4 linked regions of the Mus musculus genome follow. The protein of the gene in region 1 purifies or fractionates together with the protein of each later gene. This does not show direct contact. Links are inferred from orthologs where the notes say so. Each region holds a gene or a part of one and is shown in the gene's direction. Other genes may lie near its edges.

Evidence for each region.
Region 2: the proteins of Ocrl (region 1) and Ap2a1 purify together in Homo sapiens (affinity purification with mass spectrometry; 3 studies listed by BioGRID and IntAct, counting the BioPlex papers as one, with this or other methods). This does not show direct contact. The link is inferred for Mus musculus from reciprocal best matches to the Homo sapiens genes OCRL and AP2A1.
Region 3: the proteins of Ocrl (region 1) and Rab1a purify together in Homo sapiens (co-immunoprecipitation; 3 studies listed by BioGRID and IntAct, with this or other methods). This does not show direct contact. The link is inferred for Mus musculus from reciprocal best matches to the Homo sapiens genes OCRL and RAB1A.
Region 4: the proteins of Ocrl (region 1) and Pheta1 purify together in Homo sapiens (co-immunoprecipitation; 5 studies listed by BioGRID and IntAct, counting the BioPlex papers as one, with this or other methods). This does not show direct contact. The link is inferred for Mus musculus from reciprocal best matches to the Homo sapiens genes OCRL and PHETA1.

The regions. Positions count from the first base shown.
Region 1 is NC_000086.7:47,959,970-47,965,026, forward strand, and holds part of Ocrl (inositol polyphosphate 5-phosphatase OCRL), read left to right. Parts: intron 1-483; coding exon 484-600; intron 601-1,407; coding exon 1,408-1,492; intron 1,493-2,110; coding exon 2,111-2,238; intron 2,239-3,171; coding exon 3,172-3,283; intron 3,284-3,490; coding exon 3,491-3,615; 3' UTR 3,616-5,057. UniProt on the Homo sapiens protein: Catalyzes the hydrolysis of the 5-position phosphate of phosphatidylinositol 4,5-bisphosphate (PtdIns(4,5)P2) and phosphatidylinositol-3,4,5-bisphosphate (PtdIns(3,4,5)P3), with the greatest catalytic activity towards PtdIns(4,5)P2.
Region 2 is NC_000073.6:44,911,518-44,916,574, reverse strand, and holds part of Ap2a1 (AP-2 complex subunit alpha-1), read left to right. Parts: intron 1-104; coding exon 105-173; intron 174-269; coding exon 270-412; intron 413-540; coding exon 541-734; intron 735-5,057.
Region 3 is NC_000077.6:20,221,328-20,226,384, forward strand, and holds part of Rab1a (ras-related protein Rab-1A), read left to right. Parts: exon of another isoform or gene 1-381; intron 382-1,539; exon of another isoform or gene 1,540-1,756; coding exon 1,757-1,852; intron 1,853-3,039; coding exon 3,040-3,171; intron 3,172-3,320; coding exon 3,321-3,518; 3' UTR 3,519-5,057. UniProt on the Homo sapiens protein: The small GTPases Rab are key regulators of intracellular membrane trafficking, from the formation of transport vesicles to their fusion with membranes.
Region 4 is NC_000071.6:121,851,413-121,856,077, forward strand, and holds the end of Pheta1 (sesquipedalian-1), read left to right. Parts: intron 1-1,138; 5' UTR 1,139-1,164; coding exon 1,165-1,965; 3' UTR 1,966-3,192; downstream 3,193-4,665. UniProt on the Homo sapiens protein: Plays a role in endocytic trafficking. Required for receptor recycling from endosomes, both to the trans-Golgi network and the plasma membrane.

The DNA.
Region 1 (5,057 bases):
AATAAAGCATTTTGGGAAGGAGATTGTTTTAACTGCTGCAATCATTACTGAGTGCCTTCTAAGCATGCATGTCTCCTATGAGGAAAAAAAAGGCAAAAGCTTAAGAGACAAAGATCACGGGTGTGTCAGGAGTGGTCCAAGGCGCCAGACTCAAGCTGGAGCTCTTGACTCTAGCTGCATATGTATCAAAAGATGGCCTAGTCGGCCATCACTGCAAAGAGAGGCCCATTAGACACGCAAATTTTATATGCCCCAGTACAGGGGAACGCCAGGGCCAAAATGTGGGAATGGGTGGGTAGGGGAGTGGGGGTAGGGTATGGGGGACTTTTAGGATAGCATTGGAAATGTAGATGAGGAAAATACCTAATAAAAAAATTTAAAAAAAGAGACAAAGATCACATTGTATCCACTCGAGAAGGTTTTGAAGGAGATGTAATGCTTTCTTCTGAGGCCCTTTGATTCTAATCCCTTTTCATCTGTTAGGAGAAATCCCTTCTGCAGATGGTACCCTTGGATGAAGGTACCAGTGAGCGACCCCTTCAAGTCCCCAAAGAGATCTGGCTTCTAGTAGATCACTTGTTCAAATATGCATGTCACCAGGTAAGTGAGGGAAAACCTTCCCTGCAACTGCAGCGTGTATATGAATCATATAGGAAATTAAGCTTCATATCCACATAGTGCGTTTAACCATGCCAGGAAGCCTCCATGTGGCTATAATGTCCGAGCACTAAAGCATACAAGCTAAGCTAACTCTGAGTCTGAGGGCAGAGGCAGGAACAGAACTGAGAATGTCCATGCCTTGCTTATACGCTTTGCTCTGAACAACTGAGTACTCTGACTATTATAGTGACTTCAAGCCCATTTCTTTAACAGAACACTGGGTTTTCTTTTAAACCCTATGCTAAAACCCTAGCTACTCCCAACTCATTCCTCTTTTTAAAAATAGAACTTTCTTTGACCAAATTGAAGGGTGATGTTCTCAGATCTACTAAGAGCACTATAACTCAGAAGCCAAGTTGTATCATGAATGTGCCATTCACACTTTTCCCTTCATCCAATTCTGTCCACATTTGTCAATGGCTGCACTTGTGCAGGGTACACTGTGTTTCCTAGAGGCTCCTTGGTGCACTACTGGGCTTCCTGATCTGGCCATCTAGTCTCTTGCCTTATCAAGTAGAGAGTGAAATGTCATTTTTCTGACAGGTCATTTTCTTGCTTGAAATAACATTTCACATGGATTATAGAAATACTAAAGGAAAGCAATACTATGAGCAAACTTCCTTCCCTAAGTGTTAATACATGTGCCACCCTTCACTTTTTGGCCTGTTGCTCTCCTAGTTTCTGGACCAGCTCAGAACTGGGGCTGGCTATCTTGTCTTGTCCCCTTCATTCATCCTTCTTTGCTAGGAGGACTTGTTCCAAACCCCTGGAATGCAGGAGGAGTTACAGCAGATCATTGATTGCCTGGATACCAGCATTCCTGAGACAATTCGTATCCTTTCTGCCCAGGGCTTGAGAATATGGACAGATACTTGGGCAAAGTTTTTTCTCCCCTGTACTTGATGCTTGTCTTTCTACCCGGATGTTTTCCATTGCCTTATTTTAAGATAGTCAGTGACTATCCATTTGTTTTCTCAAGACATTTCAGGAACGTTTAGTCTCCCTTTGTGTCAAAACAGACTAAGAGGGATCAAGGGGAACCTAACAACAAATTCTAATGAGCACTGGACATAGGAGCCCTAGCACCAGGAGTGTTCTTCTGCCAGTTGGTCGTTCCTGCTAACCTTCCCAGCCATGTGCTTTCAGAGGGCAGGAAGAAGAATGAGAGGAAACACTGGCAGCTAGTTTATAACCCATCCAGTGGACCCTGTCATGGTGCAGGCTATGTTTTCCAAGTCTCTAGTTATAGTGAAACCTCCCAAGGGACTGGGAAATTCTGTACCGACTCAGCTGCAGAGCACCTGGACCACTATAAAACCACAATCAGGGATAGTGTGTGCCGAAAGAGAAGAGAAAAACCATCCCTGTAGAGGCTTGAGGAAGGGAGCCAGACAGGTGTCTGTGTGGCTTTTTTTCTGGGTTCCTCTTCCTTTAACTCAAGGTAATTCAGCTGGCAATAACCATTCTGTGGCTGAAGCACTGCTCATTTTCCTGGAAGCTCTGCCAGAGCCAGTCATCTGTTATGAGCTGTATCAGCGATGTCTTGACTCTGCTCATGATCCTCGGATCTGCAAACAGGTGAGTTTTGGTGCTCTGAGGATATGCTCAGTGCAGATTCTCCCATAGAGAAACGGTCAGTTTTACAAAGCTCTATGATAGAATGGGCCTGGGTCGGTTATTTATGATAGGACACCATAGCTAAAAATTAAGATCCTTGAGGGAGCCAGTGAGATGGTTCAATGGGTAAAGGTACTTGCCACTAAGCCTATTGACCTAAGTTTGATCCAGAGAACACAAGTGATGGAAGAAAAACAATCAACCCCTACTAGTTGTTCTCTGATCTCCACATGGCCCCTCCCCAGCCCCACCCCCCCTAAATGAGTAAAGTTGAATTTAGGTAGTATTATTTTCGAATATTTTCTAGCTTGCCTATTTCTGTTAACAGAAAAACATAGTGAGGTGGATACTTCTCACCCTGGAGTGAGATTGCAAAATGAATTGTAAGTGCAGTTCTAGTTGTCATTAGCTGAAAGGGTAGATGACAGTTGGGAGCCACCGCCACCTCCTCCTTCTCTCCTTCTTGATGTGTTTTGGATCTTGCAAAGATTGTGGTCCACAATGGCTGAGCCTAGCTATGAATCACATCAGTGAGTGTTGGTAGGAGGTACCCATCATCGCCAAGTGGCATTTTAGAGAAAAACAAGTTGACTGATGCCTTTGCTGTGAGGGGAAAAGGAAAAATAACAGATGGACACTTTCCTTCTGGTGAGGCACTGTGTGAACGTGACTCTGTGCTGACTACATGGCCTGGTCTTTGAATAGAGAGAAACCAAACCATACTTACTCCAGAGTCATAATCTGGCACGTAAAATACTGCTTATGATAATAGAGGGTAGTGACAGACAAATGGGGCTTCTAACAGTTGGGTTACAAATTGTTCTTATGGCAGCTTTGGAGTCTCATTCCCTATGAGCCATTTAACCTTCTTACACACTCGTCTCTAAAAAACAGGTCATTTCCCAGCTTCCAAGGTGCCATAGAAATGTTTTCCGCTACTTGATGGCATTCCTTCGTGAACTCTTAAAATTCTCTGACTACAACAATATCAACACCAACATGATTGGTAAGGGGGCTTCATGAGAGAGTCTGTGCAGAGTGCTTGTTGGACAGAATCTGGATGCATTGTGCATAATGTGTACCATATTTGATTTTTGGGAACATGGCAGTCCCTTCCCTCCTGCTGTTCTTGTTCCCTGCACCCCGAGCCTTGAGGTTTTGCTTAGGTAATGTCTGACAGTGGGCTTCCCCTTTTCTTTCTTCCACCCTCTAGCTACCCTGTTCAGTAGCCTTCTCCTAAGACCTCCACCAAACCTCATGACAAGACAGACTCCAAATGACCGCCAGCATGCCATCCAGTTCCTCTTGGTCTTCCTGCTTGGGAACGAGGAAGACTAAGTCTTTTCCTATCCGAGATTCTAGAGGAGGAAGACCTTGGGCTCCGACTACTTCAAAATGATCTGAAAAGTTATCACACAAAAAGGGTCTACTGTAGGATCTTACATTCTGTTAGTAGTACAAAGGGAAGAGTTTTCCTAATCCTTCCTTACCATATCCTACACAGCAAAATCCTTTTAGACATATATTGCCAAGCCAAAGTTACCATATTTCGGTGTTTTTGTGTTTACTCTTTGTAAAGCAAAGAGGTCTGTATTTACACACCTTTACCTAGGGGTATGTTTTCTGCCCTGCTTCCCAGTCCTCATGATTATCTTTAATACCCTAGGCCTGGATTGAGAGGCCTTCCTGTTCTAAGCCTACAAGTACTACTTGCTATAGCTCAGACTTGTCTACAGTTCTTTGTATGATGCACTTTGGACCCACCCTCTCCTCATGTCACTACTTTGCACACTTCCTCCATGCTCTCACTTTGAAGGAAGCCTGGATGAGGCTAGTGACTCTGTGGGTGTCCTGAACAGTGAAGTTCACTGTCTCCATGTGATTGTTACAAGCGTTTGTGCAGTTCTACTACAATGATATCTGTATGTCACTGTAATGTTGGCCTTCGTGGGGAACCACACTTGGTGGAGCCCGATTCCCTTGTCTCAGACCATGGTTAGTTACATAATTTTATGGACTATAGAGATGGCGTCCCACTGATGTGAGAAACATCACAACAGCGAGGAAAGCACTGTGAGTATATCAGAATGAAAACATCCCTGCTTCCCAGTCCCCGTGCCCGGCTACTATCCACACTTGACATGCGGAGCAATCCTGCATGTTGGTCCCCATCTCCCCCACTAGAAACCCACTTCCAGAGTCATGTTTGCATCACAGTCAAAAGAGAAGTCTGTGCACCTCAAGTGAGGTCCCAGGAGCTTTCCTCGCCCTCCAAACCAAGCATTGAGGGTAACCCTCAGAACCCATTCTCCTATCTCCTAAAGTGTCGGGGAAAGTTACTGGCCTCTCTCAACAGGGCTCACTCTGAGCTCCACATCCGCCTCCTTCAAGCAAAGACTTAAAAAGACTGCCCTTGACTCCTTGACACTATATCAAGTGCTGTGTAAGAGAGACTGGTCCGTGGGACCAGCCACACACATTACCTCTTCCACTTGAAATGACTCTAAGGTTTTCATTTTATTCAAGCTTTGTGGGACAGACAAACTTTTTAAAAATTACTTTGTTGACTGACAAACCAGCTGCCAGCTTCTGGCTGCAAAACTGCCTGGTGAAATTGACTTGCTTGGTTTCATTCACCAAACCAACCCAAGTCGTGTCATTCTTGCCTATTAACATCTGATGTAAGGCGCTCATATAGGCTGTGTGTACAATCTTGGGCACTGATTCCATCAGTAGTATCTTGTACCATCCAAGGAGAGGGCCAGGAAAACATCCACCAT
Region 2 (5,057 bases), on another chromosome or scaffold:
CCCAGCACCTTGCAGCTCATGGGCCACCGGGAGGAGGAAGGGGTGGCGGAAAGCTTATATATAACCTTGCCTGTGGCCTTGTGTGCCTTGCCGTCTCTCCACAGGCAAGAGCAAAGAGGCTGAGATCAAGAGGATCAACAAGGAACTGGCCAACATCCGTTCCAAGTTCAAAGGCAAGCTGCTGGCCCAGGGCCTGGGGAGGGATCCAGGGCCCAAGGTGTTTAGGGGACGCTTCCTTACTTGGCTCCCTTTCCCATCCTCTGCCTCAGGGGACAAGGCCTTGGATGGCTACAGTAAAAAGAAGTATGTGTGTAAGCTGCTCTTCATATTCCTGCTTGGCCATGACATTGACTTTGGACATATGGAGGCCGTGAACCTGCTAAGCTCTAACAAGTACACGGAGAAGCAGATAGTGAGTGCAGGAGACCAGACAGGGGCAGGGGCAGAGGGAGGTGGGCTCGGGTCCACTTAGACGCTGTTGCATGCTGGTCTAGTGCCCTTTAGCCACAGGTGCCCAGCTGTCCCTTCTCTGCCCCACAGGGGTACCTGTTCATCTCAGTCCTGGTGAACTCGAACTCAGAACTGATCCGGCTCATCAACAACGCTATCAAGAATGACCTGGCCAGTCGCAACCCCACCTTCATGTGCCTGGCCTTGCACTGTATCGCTAACGTGGGCAGCCGTGAGATGGGCGAGGCTTTTGCTGCAGACATTCCCCGAATCCTGGTGGCTGGGTGAGGCACTGGGGACCACAGCAAAAGGGCACAAGCAGGAGATGAGAGCCAGCTTTGTTTATGGCACCTTCCTAGGTTTTCCCACCTCGGCTTTAGACCCCAGAGTCTCTGTCTCTCTCATGTCACCTGGATGCCTAGAAGGTGTAAGGACCCATCCCACCCGGTAGTCGTGTGTCAGAGACACAGTGTTAGTGTCTCCTGTGGGTACGTTGACTTGTTCCCTCATCTGTGCCTGCAGCACTGATGGCTGACACTGGTGCCACCAACAGAGGTGGACAGTCTCAGTGTTGCAGCCAGGAAGGTGTCCAGTGTCTGCTGGGTGAGGACAGGCAGGGTTTCAGACGGGTCAATTGTGACGCTGTGCCACCTGACTACTTCAGGAAGCTTCCCGGCTGGCTCCTGAGCGGTTTACATGCCGAGCTGTTGGTAACATGGCTCTGATTCTCAAAGAGCAGTGGCAGGAGACCTTGCCTTCCCAAGTGCCGGGGTACCTGTCTGTAATTCCAAGGTACCTGAAGATGCACAGGTGGGCTGCAGCTGTGGCCTGCAAAGGACCCTGGGGTCCTTCCACCTGCGCACCTGTAAACCTCGTATGAAGGCAAGAGGAGCAGAAGTTCAAGGCATGGTCTGATAGTCAGTGGTTCCTAGGCTACAGAAGACACTGCGTGGAAACAACGTCTCCCTTTTGTTTGCTTTTTGTTTGTTTTAATTTTATTTATATGAGTACATTGTAGCTGTCTTCAGACACACCAGAAGAGGGCATTGGATCCCATTACAGATGGTTGTGAGCCACCATGTGGGAACTCAGGACCTCTGGAAGAGCAGTCAGTGCTCTTAACCACTGAGCCATCTCCCTAGCTCTGAAAAAAGGCTTTCATTAACAAGTCAGAGGGGATTCTCCAGGGGGTGATGGATAATGTTGTAGAACAGTCAGGAATCAGTGGTCACCTGAGGATATTGGGTGCCTTGTGCAAAAGGCTCAGCAGGTGTCAAGGCTCTGGGTATAGGTGTGTGGTCCATCAGGCATTCTCTGTGGATGGGGGATAGAGAGCATGGGAGAGACTTTGGGGAGTCTGCCTCTGCTTCCTGTGGAAGTTGGGGTAACTGGTGTCTGTCAGGCAGTTGAATAACAGGAGCAGTGTTGTCTTTTAGAAAAGTCACCATGGCTGCTGTGCCCAGGGTGAGATTTCTATTTCTGGCAGTGTAGACAGGTGCTGCTGGGGTTCTTGACAGTGGCTGATCTGGGCGTAGTGACACATGTAGGAAGGAGGAGGACTGGGACAAGTCTGAGGCCAGCCTGGGCTCCACAGTGAGACCCTGTGTCAAAGAGAAAAGAAAGACTTTATTTTGAACAAAGGAGCAAGAGTTAATATTAATTAATGGAGTCTTAAGCTAGCCAGTAATTAAGGCGCATGGAGACCCAGCCAGGAGCAGCCAACTCTGACAGAGTTGGTCTTAGGCAGCCTGGGCTTCTAAAGCCTTTTATGATGGGGGGGGGCAGGAGGGGGCTGAGTCGTATATTTGGGTGGGGGAGGAATATAGCCTCTGGGAGCAGAGAAAAGCTTGTCCAAGTAGAGGCTGTGGGAAGCCACACATCAAAGTGTAGGTGGCCTAGAAATAAACGCCCCTGGGAACTGTATGCAAAATTACCTGTCTCCATCCTTATCACAGCAACCAGAGTTGGCTGCTAGCCTGCTCTGTGTGTTTGTTTGAAACAGGGTATCATGTAGCCCAGGTTGGCCTTGCGCTGACCCTCCAGCTTCCGATTTAATGCTGGGATTGCAGGCCCCTACGTCCACAGCTGCCTCATCCTGCCTGGGTCACCAAATACCCATCCCTAAGTTCACCTTTGAAGCAGTGTAAGCCAAGCAAGGCCAAGCTGTCCCAAAGGATCCTTCCAAGATTGTTACTTTTATTCTATGTGGATGGGTGTTTTGTCTACATATGTATGTACCCCATGCACATGTATGTAGTCTCTGAGAAGGGAGGCTGTGAACAAGCAGAGAAGCAGCATTGAAGGCGGGCTCCATGGTGGCCCAATGTGCTAGGTAGAGCTAGAGGATGGGCTGGCATACAGGAGGACAAGGACTAAAGGGCCGTTATGGGTGCAGCACTGGGGAAACTTAGGCAGGGTTAAGAATGTACGACCACTTTGTAGCACAGCCAGATCCTGTCTCCTAATTGGTCAGTTAATAGCTTTAAACTCAGAGTTTGAGCTAGGCTCTCACTAGGGAACCCAGACTGATTGCTTGCCTGCTTTTGTTTTGATTTGCTTATTGAGGTGGTCCAGTGTAGCCTGGGCTGGCCTTGAACTCACTAGTAGGTAGCTGAGCATGACCTTGAACTGTTTCTCCTGCTTCTTAGCCTCTGAATTTAGACAGACATACAGTATCTATTATCTGTTTGTTTTTGAGGTAGGATTTCACTGTGTAGCCTTAGCTGGTGTAGAACTTTTGGTGATTCCTGCCTCCTGAGTTTCACCATACAGTCATGTACCGCCATATCTAGCTCAGATCTGCTAACTGTGCGCAGGGCAGTGGTTTTTTGGTTTTTGATGGACTCTTGTGTGCGATCATTAACCACTACCCAATTCCAGAGCACTGTTGTCACTCCCCGAGAGAGTGCGCCCTGTGTTGTGGGCAGGTCTGTCACCCCCTCTCCCCTCGGAGCCCACTGGCCCATGCTGAGGCTTTGTCTGAAGCGCTGTGGAATGTGCAGTGACCAAGTCTGTAGCTTTCTCTCAGTAAGGTGTGTTTTGAGTTTGTTCGTCTGTCTGTGGTGAGTGTCAGACTTAATGCCTGGAGCTGGGAGCTGGCTCAGTTAGTAAAGCGCTTGTGGTGCAGGCGTGAGGACCTGGTGTCTGGAGTCCACAGCACACAGACAGCTGAGTGTCAGTATTCTACCTGTAACCCCAGCCATGGGCTGCCAGGACAGCCCAGCTACCTACTCAGTGAGCCCCAGGTTCAGTGAAAGATCTATCTAAAAAATTGGGTAGGCAGCTACAGGGGAGGTCACTAGTGTTGATTTCTGGTCTTCATATGCACATGCACACACATTATGCACACACAAAAACTGTACAGTATACACATACACTGCACACACTATATAGACATATACACTATACAGATATGTGTGCTATACACACACACACACACACATACACACATGGCTAGACACACACACACACACACACACACACACACACACACACACGCCTGACAGAGCATGTTTTCTGTGTCCATTGTCACAGATCTCCCTTCTGACAGGCATGCTGCTCTCACTGAGTGGAGTCTGCAGTACTCTTGTGTTGGCTCCTAGCTGTGAAACTGCTAGGTCAAGGTTTTGTTGTTTTTCTTTTTTTTTCTTTTTGTTTTTTGAGACAGGGTTTCTCTGTATAGCCCTGGCTGTCCTGGAACTCACTCTGTAGACCAGGCTGGCCTCGAACTCAGAAATCCACCTTCCTCTGCCTCCCGAGGGCTGAGATTAACCGTGTGTGCCACCACGCCTGGCCAGGGTTGATTCTTTTTGAGACAGAATTTTCTTTGTTTGTCTGGGGGCACATAGTCGCTCTGTACCTGTGCTGACCTTGAAACCACTATGTAGCCCATACTGTCTTTAAATTTCTAACCCTTTGCCTCAGCCTCACAAATGTTATGGTTATTTGACTCAGCTGCCAAACCTATCTGCAGACCCCCTCTTACCTTAAAGATTTGTGTTGTAGTTAATATTTGAGGATTTCCACCCACCTTAGATCATTTAGTTTCCAAATAAAAACACAAACCTTTATATTTGCAATAAGCCTTAAAGCTTTAGAGCTGGGCAGATACCAGCCCTCTATGCTATTTTGTCTGCTCCCCTGTCAGTGGCCCTGAGATAGGACTCTCCATGTTCCAACTGGGCTGCTCCTACTCCAAGGGGCATCCCTTGTGGCCATGCTCTCACGGTCCATCTATCCCATGGCGACTTTATTTCTCTCTCTCCTCTTTCCTCATGGCCTCTGCTTCAGACCCCCAAGTCCTGAGAATGGAAACCTTGCCTGTCTCTCTCTTCTGCCCAGCTGCAGGCTGTAGGCATCTTTATTGACCAATTAGGGATAACTTGGGGGGCAAGGTTCCATAGCATCATCACTTGATGCATGTGAGGATCTCCTCATACGGGGCAACCCGATGTTGGGGTCCCGTATTTAGTATTACAATTCATAGCCACAGACCAAACCTCAACAGATTTGGTTTATTTTAAACCGTGTGTGTGTGTGTGTGATTTGGTTTATTTTAAACTGTGTGTGTGTGTGTGTGTGTGTGTGTGTGTGTGTGTGTATGTGTG
Region 3 (5,057 bases), on another chromosome or scaffold:
TTAATCTACCAAAGACTATAAAGGAATGGGTGAGTTTGCATTAACTACATCCCGAGTCGTCTGCACTTGAAGATTTAGGGTTGCTTGTCTTTAATTTGGGGGTTGTGTGTATAAAGGGTATAAATGGCTGCAGATATGGTCGGGTAGATAAAGTACTTGTAAATGTGAGGACCAGAATTCACCCATGAAAATGCTGTGTAGCTGTGGGGACCCACCTGCAATCCATGGAAGGCAGAGGCACTGGGTTACAGGAGCTCTGTATTCACCGAGAGATCTTGCCTCAGTAAGGTGGAGTGTAATCCAGGAAGACTTTAGCCTTAGGTCTCTATATACACATACTGTACATACACACAAAAAGAAAATGTGTCTGTCTCTCTCTCTCTGTGTGTGTGTGTGTGTGAGAGAGAGAGAGAGAGAGAGAGAGAGAGAGAGAGAGAGAGAGAGAGAGAGAATGAGAATATTCCATGAATTGGTGTTATAAAAATTTAAATGCAAAATTGTGTGTCTAGCCCATTGCATTTCAACTTGATGGGCTGTGTTTTTTTTTCTCCCAAGTACTCTTAAGTCTTTTCCTTTCATGTTTTTTTTTTTTTTTTTTTTTTTTTTTTTTTAAAGATTTATTTATTTATTACATGTAAGTACACTGTAGCTGTCTTCAGACACTCCAGAAGAGGGCGTCAGATCAGATCTTGTTACAGATGGTTGTGAGCCACCATGTGGTTGCTGGGATTTGAACTTCAGACCTTCGGAAGAGCAGTCGGGTGCTCTTACCCACTGAGCCATCTCACCAGCCCTTCCTTTCATGTTTTATTGTTTAGTCATGATGGCCAGGTCTTCACTGATTTTTATGTTTGAAAGAGGGTCTCTCACTATATAGCCCTAGTTGTCCTGGAACTTGCTGTATAGATAAGGACAGTCTTGAACCCACAGAGTTCCACCCCTGCTTTTGCCTCCTCAGTGCAGGGACTATAGGCACTAAACACCATATTTGGCCAGAGGACAACTTTTTATAGTTTCTTCCTTCTATCATGGGTTCTAGGGATTGACTTCTGGTTGTCAGGTTTGCATAGCTTTTGCTGGCCTATCTTGCTTGCTTTTCCCCATTAAAAAATATTTTTATTAAGTGAAGTGTATATGAATGCATGTGCCCAAAGAAACCAGAGGCACTGGGTGCCTTTGAAACTAGAGTTACAAGCATTGGTAAACCACTTAGTATGGGTCCTGGGAATTGAACTCAGGTTCTCTAGAAGACCAATATATCCTCTTAACCATTAAGCCATCTCTCCATGCCCCTTCTCCGCTTAGAAAAATGAGTTTTATTTTAAAGGTGTTTAGAAACATTTTCCTTACGTTATTTTTGCTGAGCCTGAGATAGCACCTCCTTGTTACCCTAGGGCATGGCCGAGCCTGGTCTGTGACAAATACTGCAGCCATGAAGTAAGCTCTGGGCTCTGGACTCTATATTTTTTACCAACAGCCTAGAATAGCCTAGCATAGCTTATGTTCTCAAAGAATTTAGAATTTTGGTATTAGTACTACCTGCTAAACCGTAGGCATTATCTTCTCTTCTGGATTTTTAACATATTTGATACCTGCAATGCAATTTAATAATGTAAGCATTAAATACTGCAATTTAATAATGTAAGCATTAAATACTGCTGGCATCTCAAATCCTAATAATCTACAATTTTCTCCTGTACTTTCTCCCAAGTATGTTTTAATGGAATTGTTTGCCTTCTCTGATTGTTTTCTATAGTGGGACACAGCAGGCCAGGAAAGATTTCGAACAATCACTTCCAGTTATTACAGAGGAGCCCATGGCATCATAGTTGTGTATGATGTGACAGATCAGGTAAGTTTCTAGAGAATGTTACATGTTACCAACAAAGTAGAAAGTAGTGTATGTGTGTGGATTTTGACACAATCTCACTGTGTAGTTCTGGCTGACCTGAACTCACTATGTGGTCAGGCTGCCCTTGAATGCTTTTGAACAGCCCTGAAACTTTTGACTAGAAATTTATTTTTACTAATCGAGAAATAAAAACAACTCATTTTCTTATAGCAAATGTTAAATCTGAACTATCTGAATTATATTGTTAATTTGGAGATAAATTAAGAGATTTACCATACAAGCAAAAGATAAGCGAATATGAATAGGGAAAGAAAATGCTACATTAGCATGATGTCATGTACCTTCAGCTACTTGGGAGGCTGAAACAGGAGCTCAGGAGATTGAGACCTGTCTAGGCAGCAGAGCAAAACCTCATCTCAGTAAAGCAAACACCCAAAGCAGGCATAACTGGTTAATTTTAAATATGTAATCTATTACCATAATTTGTTTGTTCTTCAAGACAAGTTTCCCTGTGATCTTGGCTGTTTATAGACAAACCTGACCTTGGGCTCAAAGATCTGCCTGCCTCTGTCCCCTAAGCACTGGAACTAAAGGCATTCACTACCATGCCCAGCATATTTTTATGTGAAAAAAACAAGGAAAATTGTCACCTGTTTTTTTATAAGATTTCTCTTCCGCATCCCACATCTTGTTTGTAGTGGGGTTTAAGATCAGGGCTTTCTGTATGCCCAGCAAATTGTCAGCACTGAGGTGCACCTAGGCCAAATAATAGTAGCGATACTGTTGTTTTTCATAACCAGTTTTTTGTTTGTTTGTTTTTGAGTCAGGATCTCACAGTGTAGTTCTGGCTGGCCTGGAGCTCAAGAGCTCAGTCTGTATCTGTCTCCCAAGTACTGGAATTAAAGCTGTGCCACTGCACCCAGCTTTTATTTATTTAACAGGATTTTACTGTTTCAGAAACTAGGTCTTGACAATATTTTAAAATTTCAATTTAAAATTGGGCTTGCCTGTCATTAAACTTCAACTGTTTCCCCTTCCAAATAAGCTCTTTTCACTTCAGGCCTTTGAGTCTTTCTTATCATTGACGGGGTCATTGACGGGGTGTATACCTCAAGTTAGTTGATTTCTTTCCTTAGTTAGAGCAGCAGTGGCCTCGAGCAACTGCATCACCATTCTTCTCTCCCTAGGAGTCCTTCAATAACGTTAAACAGTGGCTGCAGGAGATAGATCGCTACGCCAGTGAAAATGTCAACAAGTTGTTGGTAGGGAACAAATGTGACCTGACCACAAAGAAAGTAGTAGACTACACAACAGCAAAGGTATGTATGAGGTTTGACTTTGACACTGAATTTAATTATGGGGACTGCCTCACCCTGTAAAAGCCAGTGAGCTTAGTCCCCCATTCCCATTTCAGAAGACTAAGTCAGAAGGATTTTCCATTGTTCACTGTGCCTTATTATTCTCTCAGGAATTTGCAGATTCCCTTGGAATTCCATTTTTGGAAACCAGTGCTAAGAACGCAACGAATGTAGAACAGTCTTTCATGACGATGGCAGCTGAGATTAAAAAGCGAATGGGTCCTGGAGCTACAGCTGGTGGTGCCGAGAAGTCCAATGTTAAAATCCAGAGCACTCCAGTCAAGCAGTCAGGTGGAGGCTGCTGCTAAAATCTGCCTCCGTCCTTTTCTCACAGCAATGAATTCGCAATCTGAACCCAAGTGAAAAAACAAAATTGCCTGAATTGTACTGTATGTAGCTGCACTACAACAGATTCTTACCGTTTCCACAAGGTCAGAGATTGTAAATGGTCAATACTGACTTTTTTTTTTATTCCCTTGACTCAAGACCGCTAACTTCATTTTCAGAACTGTTTTAAACCTTTGTGTGCTGGTTTATAAAATAATGTGTGTAATCCTTGTTGCTTTCCTGATACCAGATCGTTTCCCGTGGTTGGTTAGAATATATTTTGTTTTGATGTTTATATTGGCATGTTTAGATGTTGGGTTTAGTCTTCTGAAGATGAAGTTCAGCCATTTTGTATCACACAGCACAACCAGTGTCTGTCAGTTTCCACGCATAAAGTTTAGTGAGACGTTATATGTAAGATCTGATTTGCTAGTTCTTCCTGGTAGAGTTATAAATGGAAAGATTACACTATCTGATTAATAGTTTCTTCATACTCTGCATATAATTTGTGGCTGCAGAATATTGTAATTTGTTGCACACTATGTAACAAAACTGAAGATATGTTTAATAAATATTGTACTTATTGGAAGTAATATCAAACTGTATGGTGATAAGTATTGTTTTAATTCCTATGATTAAAGGGAAATAGAGCTTTGCATTCTACTCAGCAGCCACGTGTGTGCAGCAAGGGCACTGTAGACCTATCTTAATAGCACAGCATCCAGGGTTTGCTTTCTAGTAATAGGTCTGATGAGTGACCTAGAGAAGCTTTTGTGCTGTGTAGAGACTTCACCACCTTCATTGGTTCAAGGAACTCAAACTCTAGTGCTTCATCTCCAGCCCAGGCCACCTGAAGTGGCTTCACCAGCAACCCTTTTTTCCCTCATCTGTGGTAGAGATGGAGAGCAGCCCATGCTTCCTCCCAGGCAGTGATCTGGTAATAGTGCTGGTGTTTCTTCATGCTCAGTCTGATGGCGCACACACCTTTTTCTTTCTTTTTTCTTTTTGGCTATTGGAGATAGGGTTTCTCTGTGTATCCCTGGCTGTCCTGGAACTCTCTCTGTAGACCAGGCTGGCCTCGAACTCAGGGATCCACCTAGCTCTGTCTCTGAGTGCTGAGACTGAAGGTGTGCGCCGCCACGCCTGGCTTTTTTCCCCTTTCTTTTTTGAGACAGGGTCTTACTATGTAGCCCTGGCTAGCCTGGAACTTAAGTATGTACAACAGGCTGCCTCCCCCTCCCCCATTCACCTGCCTTTTCCTCAAAAGTGCTGGGATTAAATGATGTCCCAGACTGCACCTATTTTTTGAGACAATGTCTCATATAGCTCAAGAGGCCTCAAATTCACTTGTAACCAAGGATGCCCTTGAACTCCTGATCCTCCTGCCTCCACTTCCAGGTGTCAACTTTATTCTTTCCAATTGTATGAATCATGTTGGTGGAGAGTTTAAGCATTAGAATAGAAAGCAGGAAATGTGATTGCCCTAATTGTAGAAATTCTATCTCCCCCCCCCCCCAAAT
Region 4 (4,665 bases), on another chromosome or scaffold:
CAAAGCAGGGATTAAACTCACCTGAGCCTTCAGGACCCCGAGGCCCCAGCCCCAATGCTCTGGGCCAAACAAGTCTTGGCCTCTGATCTGGCAGGAAGCTGTCCCCAACTGTAACGTGGGTGGCATGAGGTGGCAAAAATTAAGTATTTGTCTGGCAGCAGTTTCTCTCTCCACCCAGGTCAGGTGGCGCAGCCTGGCCCTACAGAGCCACCACCCTGACCTCATCCCTGCAGACCAAGGGTAAAGCACGGCACAGGCAGAGGGGCTGGGTGTTAGTGGGGTGCCTGCTACAGACATTCCAGGCTCTTCAAAAGTATGCCAGCCATCTGCACGAAGCAAGGCTGTGACGGGGACCCTACGGGTGCAGGGCCTGCCTCCTCCAAGTGGCCACACTGGTAACCCACGTGCCACTCCCCGACAGGCCCTACTGCCCGCTGCTGCCCCAGTGTGTACTTTTCGGGAGGTCTATGTTAGGGCGCCCTGTCCCTTCCGCCCTGACAGTCTGGGCTGAGCCTGCATTTTATCTAGGTTATTTTCCAACAGTTGCTCCGGTACTCTGGGGTTTCCTCCACTCCTGCCCTCCTCTGGTCACCCTCTCCACAGCCGGAGGATTTAACTTTGTGTTTGCTGTGGTGTCCCTATCCTGTTGTCCCTCTGTCCATGTTGTTCCCCCTCACCTCACCCACCCCACCTCGCGCCCTCATGCTCTTCCCTACAGCTCCCTCTCTCACCAACCTGACCTACAAACCAAGGCTGAGTCACAGACCTGGGATCTCCAGGCACGAGCAAAGGCTCTAGTCAGCTTGTTTTGTGACCTTTGCTTGGTGGCTGACAAAGGTTGTGCCTTTGTTTCCCCATCTGACACTGACACACAGATGCAAACATAAAACCAGCACACACCACCCAAGGTCATTGCTAGATAGAGCTAACCTATGCAAAATGTCTGGTGAGCTGACACTTAATGCTACCTTCCCTGGTCAAGGGCAGCAGGAGCCCTCCAGATGGCCGTGCGAGATCCTGGTTTGAGTCCTGTCTCACTGTGCTCACTGAGGGGCCTTGGGGTGGGTGTGGTGGGAGGAGGCTGCTGGTGGCCTGGGAGTCCTGGATGATCCTAGTAGTAACATCTGCTCCCGCGCAGGGGACAGGTTGCAGCTCCTCGTGACCATGAAGCTCAACGAGCGCAGCTTGGCCTTCTACGCAACCTGCGATGCCCCGGTGGACAACGCCGGCTTCCTGTACAAGCGTGGTGGCCGTGGGACCGGCTCGCACCGGCGCTGGTTCGTGCTCCGGGGCAATATCCTCTTTTACTTCGAGGCAGAAGGCAGCCGCGAGCCGCTGGGCGTCATCCTGCTGGAGGGCTGCACGGTGGAGCTGGTGGATGCCCGGGAGGAGTTCGCCTTCGCAGTGCGCTTTGCCGGGGGCCGATCCCGGCCGTACGTGCTGGCCGCTGACAGCCAGGCAGCCCTGGAGGGCTGGGTGAAGGCACTGTCCCGGGCCAGCTTCCACTATCTGCGCTTGGTGGTGCGGGAGCTGGAACAGCAACTGGCTGCCATGCGCGAGGGAAGCCCCGCCAACGCCTTACCCGCCAACCCGAGCCCGGTTTTGACCCAGAGACCCAAGGAGAACGGCTGGGTAGTGTGGAGCACGCTGCCCGAGCAGCCCTCGGTAGCCCCTCAGCGGCCGCCGCCACTGCCACCCCGCCGCAGGGCCTCAGCGGCCAACGGGCCCTTGGCATCCTTCGCCCAGCTGCATGCGCGATATGGACTAGAGGTGCAGGCCCTTAGGGACCAGTGGCGCGGAGGCCAGGCTGGCCTAGCCAGCTTAGAGGTCCCCTGGCATCCTGGTTCTGCTGAGACTCAGACCCAGGACCAGCCAGCCCTAAGGGGACATAGTGGGTGTAAGGTATTACATGTATTCCGTTCCGTAGAATGGCCTGTTTGCAATCCAGGCTCCCAGGGGACATAGGACATATGACTCAGGAGACCTGTGCCCCTGGGGTCAGAGGCACTTACTTCTGAGAAGAATCTGGAACGTGAACCTGAGGGTGCTTCTAGAGCCCAAGGAGCTGGTTTCTAGAGAACTCCGCGCCAGGGTGGCCTGTGTGACCTTGACAGCCCCGAAGCTGGCCACAGGCCCATGGGGCCCAGGGTTTACCTGGTGCCTCTCAAGGATCTAAAGCTTGAACCTGGAAGCTGCTGTCTGGGCTGCTGTGGGCCTACACCAGTAGGTGGAATGTGGGACTTGAACTGGATAGGTCCCCCAGGCTCCTGGCCTGGAACCAGCTAAGTCAGGACTGTGTCCAGCTTTGTAGGTGAGCCCGGGCAGAAGCAGGGCCTCCCCTGACCTCGGTCCTGGCCTGGGACCCAGCTTCCTCCCAGTTTCACCTGGAGGAGACAGGCCTCCGACTGATTCCATGCCTGCAGCAGGGAGAGCCCAGGCACTGTCCCTAGCCACTGCAGGTGACCAGTGGGCCTCAGGACTGGGCCTACTTCTCTCTCACCACAGTGCTGGCTGTCTTCCAGAGGGTTGGGCAGGACAGCCGGCCCCACCTGGGTTCTTGTTTACAGTCCTCCTCAGTGCCCTGCCCTGAGGGGACACTCCAATCGCTGCATCCTATGAACAGATTTCACCCTGGCCCCTCCCTCTCCTCTGGGGGGTGGGGTGGCTGGGTCCCATGGGTGCTTCTGTCTGTCGCCAGGGCCTCTTGGCTCTCTGCTGGCTCAGGGGCCAGGGCACTTGGCTGTGGGTTTTTCTTTGAAGTACAGAGGCTACTGTCTTCCACCAGTGAAGTTAAGTAGTCCAGTCTCACCCCTGCCACTTTTGTTACTGTTGGCTGCAAGGGGTGGCATTGTCTCCAGGGAGCCAGGCCCTCGCAGGAGACACACGGGCGCCTAGCTGACTTGGCCCTGACTTGGCCCTCTGTCTCCTGAGCTCAGCTGTCTGCACAGGTGGTGCCTCTGGGGACTTGGTCTGTCTCCTCAACTCTCCCACTGGAGTCATACGGCTGAGGTGTAGACTCTAGTCTGGGACGGGCTTACAAACTCTAAAGGTACGGGGCAGGAGGTGGGGGAGACAAGGGCAGAGTTGTTCCCTCTCCCCAAAGCACAAGGTGAACACCAGCTGATTCTGGGGCTAGGAGAGTTATCAATCATGGACAGGGTATGAGGGCCAAAATAAAAGCCGGTCGAGAAATGGCTGGGTGTATTATTGTTCTCCCTGCAGAATCCACAGTTGATATATTTTGCGGGGTCCTAGAAAGGAGGGATTGTTGTCCTCTAGCTAGGCAGTCTCAGCACCTCTTAGGGAAGATGCTAGCCTCATCTTTGTGTGTGTGTGTGTGTGTGTGTGTGTGTGTGTGTGTGTGTATGTGTGTGTGTAGGGGGGTGGAGGTCCATAGAGGTTGCCAAGGCCGCACAGCTGGAGAGTCAGCTGGATGACCTCGGGAATAAATGGTGGACTACAGGGCCTAAAGAAAGATGAAAAGATGATTGACAGGTGGGCCGGGCCCAGTCGCCTGAGAGTTCGGAGGAGGTATGTAAAATGGGAAGGGGTCCAAGCCAAGGGAAGGGAAAGGAAGGGGCAGGCCCAGGGTAGCCCAGCATGATGGTTGAAGCCCAGGGACTTCCAAATGTAGCCTCAGGACGTGCCAGAGCTCTCCCTTGGCAGCCTGGAAAAATCAAGTGCCTTCCGGGACTTAATTCCGGGACTTTCGGATCTGAGCAAGCCACGTGTAACTCATGTTCAAATTCACTATGGTCAGGGGACCATGTGCCGCTGAGTGTACATACCGTGTCCTCCCATCGCCTGGGGCCACAGCCAACTGAGTCAGGCCACTGGTGACTACAGTCCCTCCTGGGCACAGGATCGGGGAAGTAGAAGGATTGGGGGGTGTGGGGAGGCTGCTCCAAGAGGCAGTGTCACAGGTGTGTCCTTATCAAAATACTCCTTGGAGTGACAGACAGGTGGCCTTGGGGACAAAGTCAATGCTGACATCCCTCTCTGCCCTCCTACTACGGTTATGTAGGCAAGGTCCAACGTATCTTGAGGCACGGTGTGGTCAGGAACATTCTAAGGGGCAGCTGGGGATGGCGGAACACTCAGGCCTGAGATCATAGGTACCTACCCCAAGTTATCAATCTATTTGGATCAGACTCTAGTTTGGCCCAGTGAGATGTTTGTGGGGGTCACCCAGTGTCCATCAGATAGTTGCTATGAGAAAAGTGACCAAGGTTGGGGACAATGTGGAGGGGTGGACCCTAGTGCAAGGTTGCTGCAGTGGGACAGCTAGACAGTTCCTCAGACAGTAAAGACAGAACCACAGATGACATGCAGGGACGTGAGAGGGTCTCAGGTCCTGTGTGTGGTCACAGCAGCATTATCTACCACGCTACATGCAGGTGAACCTCCTATCCCTCAGGGGGCTCTGGGCATGCATACCTGTGGGCCCTGGGGTCCCAGTGGACAAGGATGGTTGTGACATCTGAGAGAGGGCCAAGCAGACACCGGGCTGCTGGCTGAGCACTTCCAGAGCCTTGCATCATTACATCCCTGTTATCCATATCCCAGGGCCCGGGGCCCACAGTGGCAGAGAGGGCAGTATTTCTGGAACCCTACAGATTGGTTTCTGTTAATCCCAGCACTTGGGAGGCAGAGGCAGGCGAATTT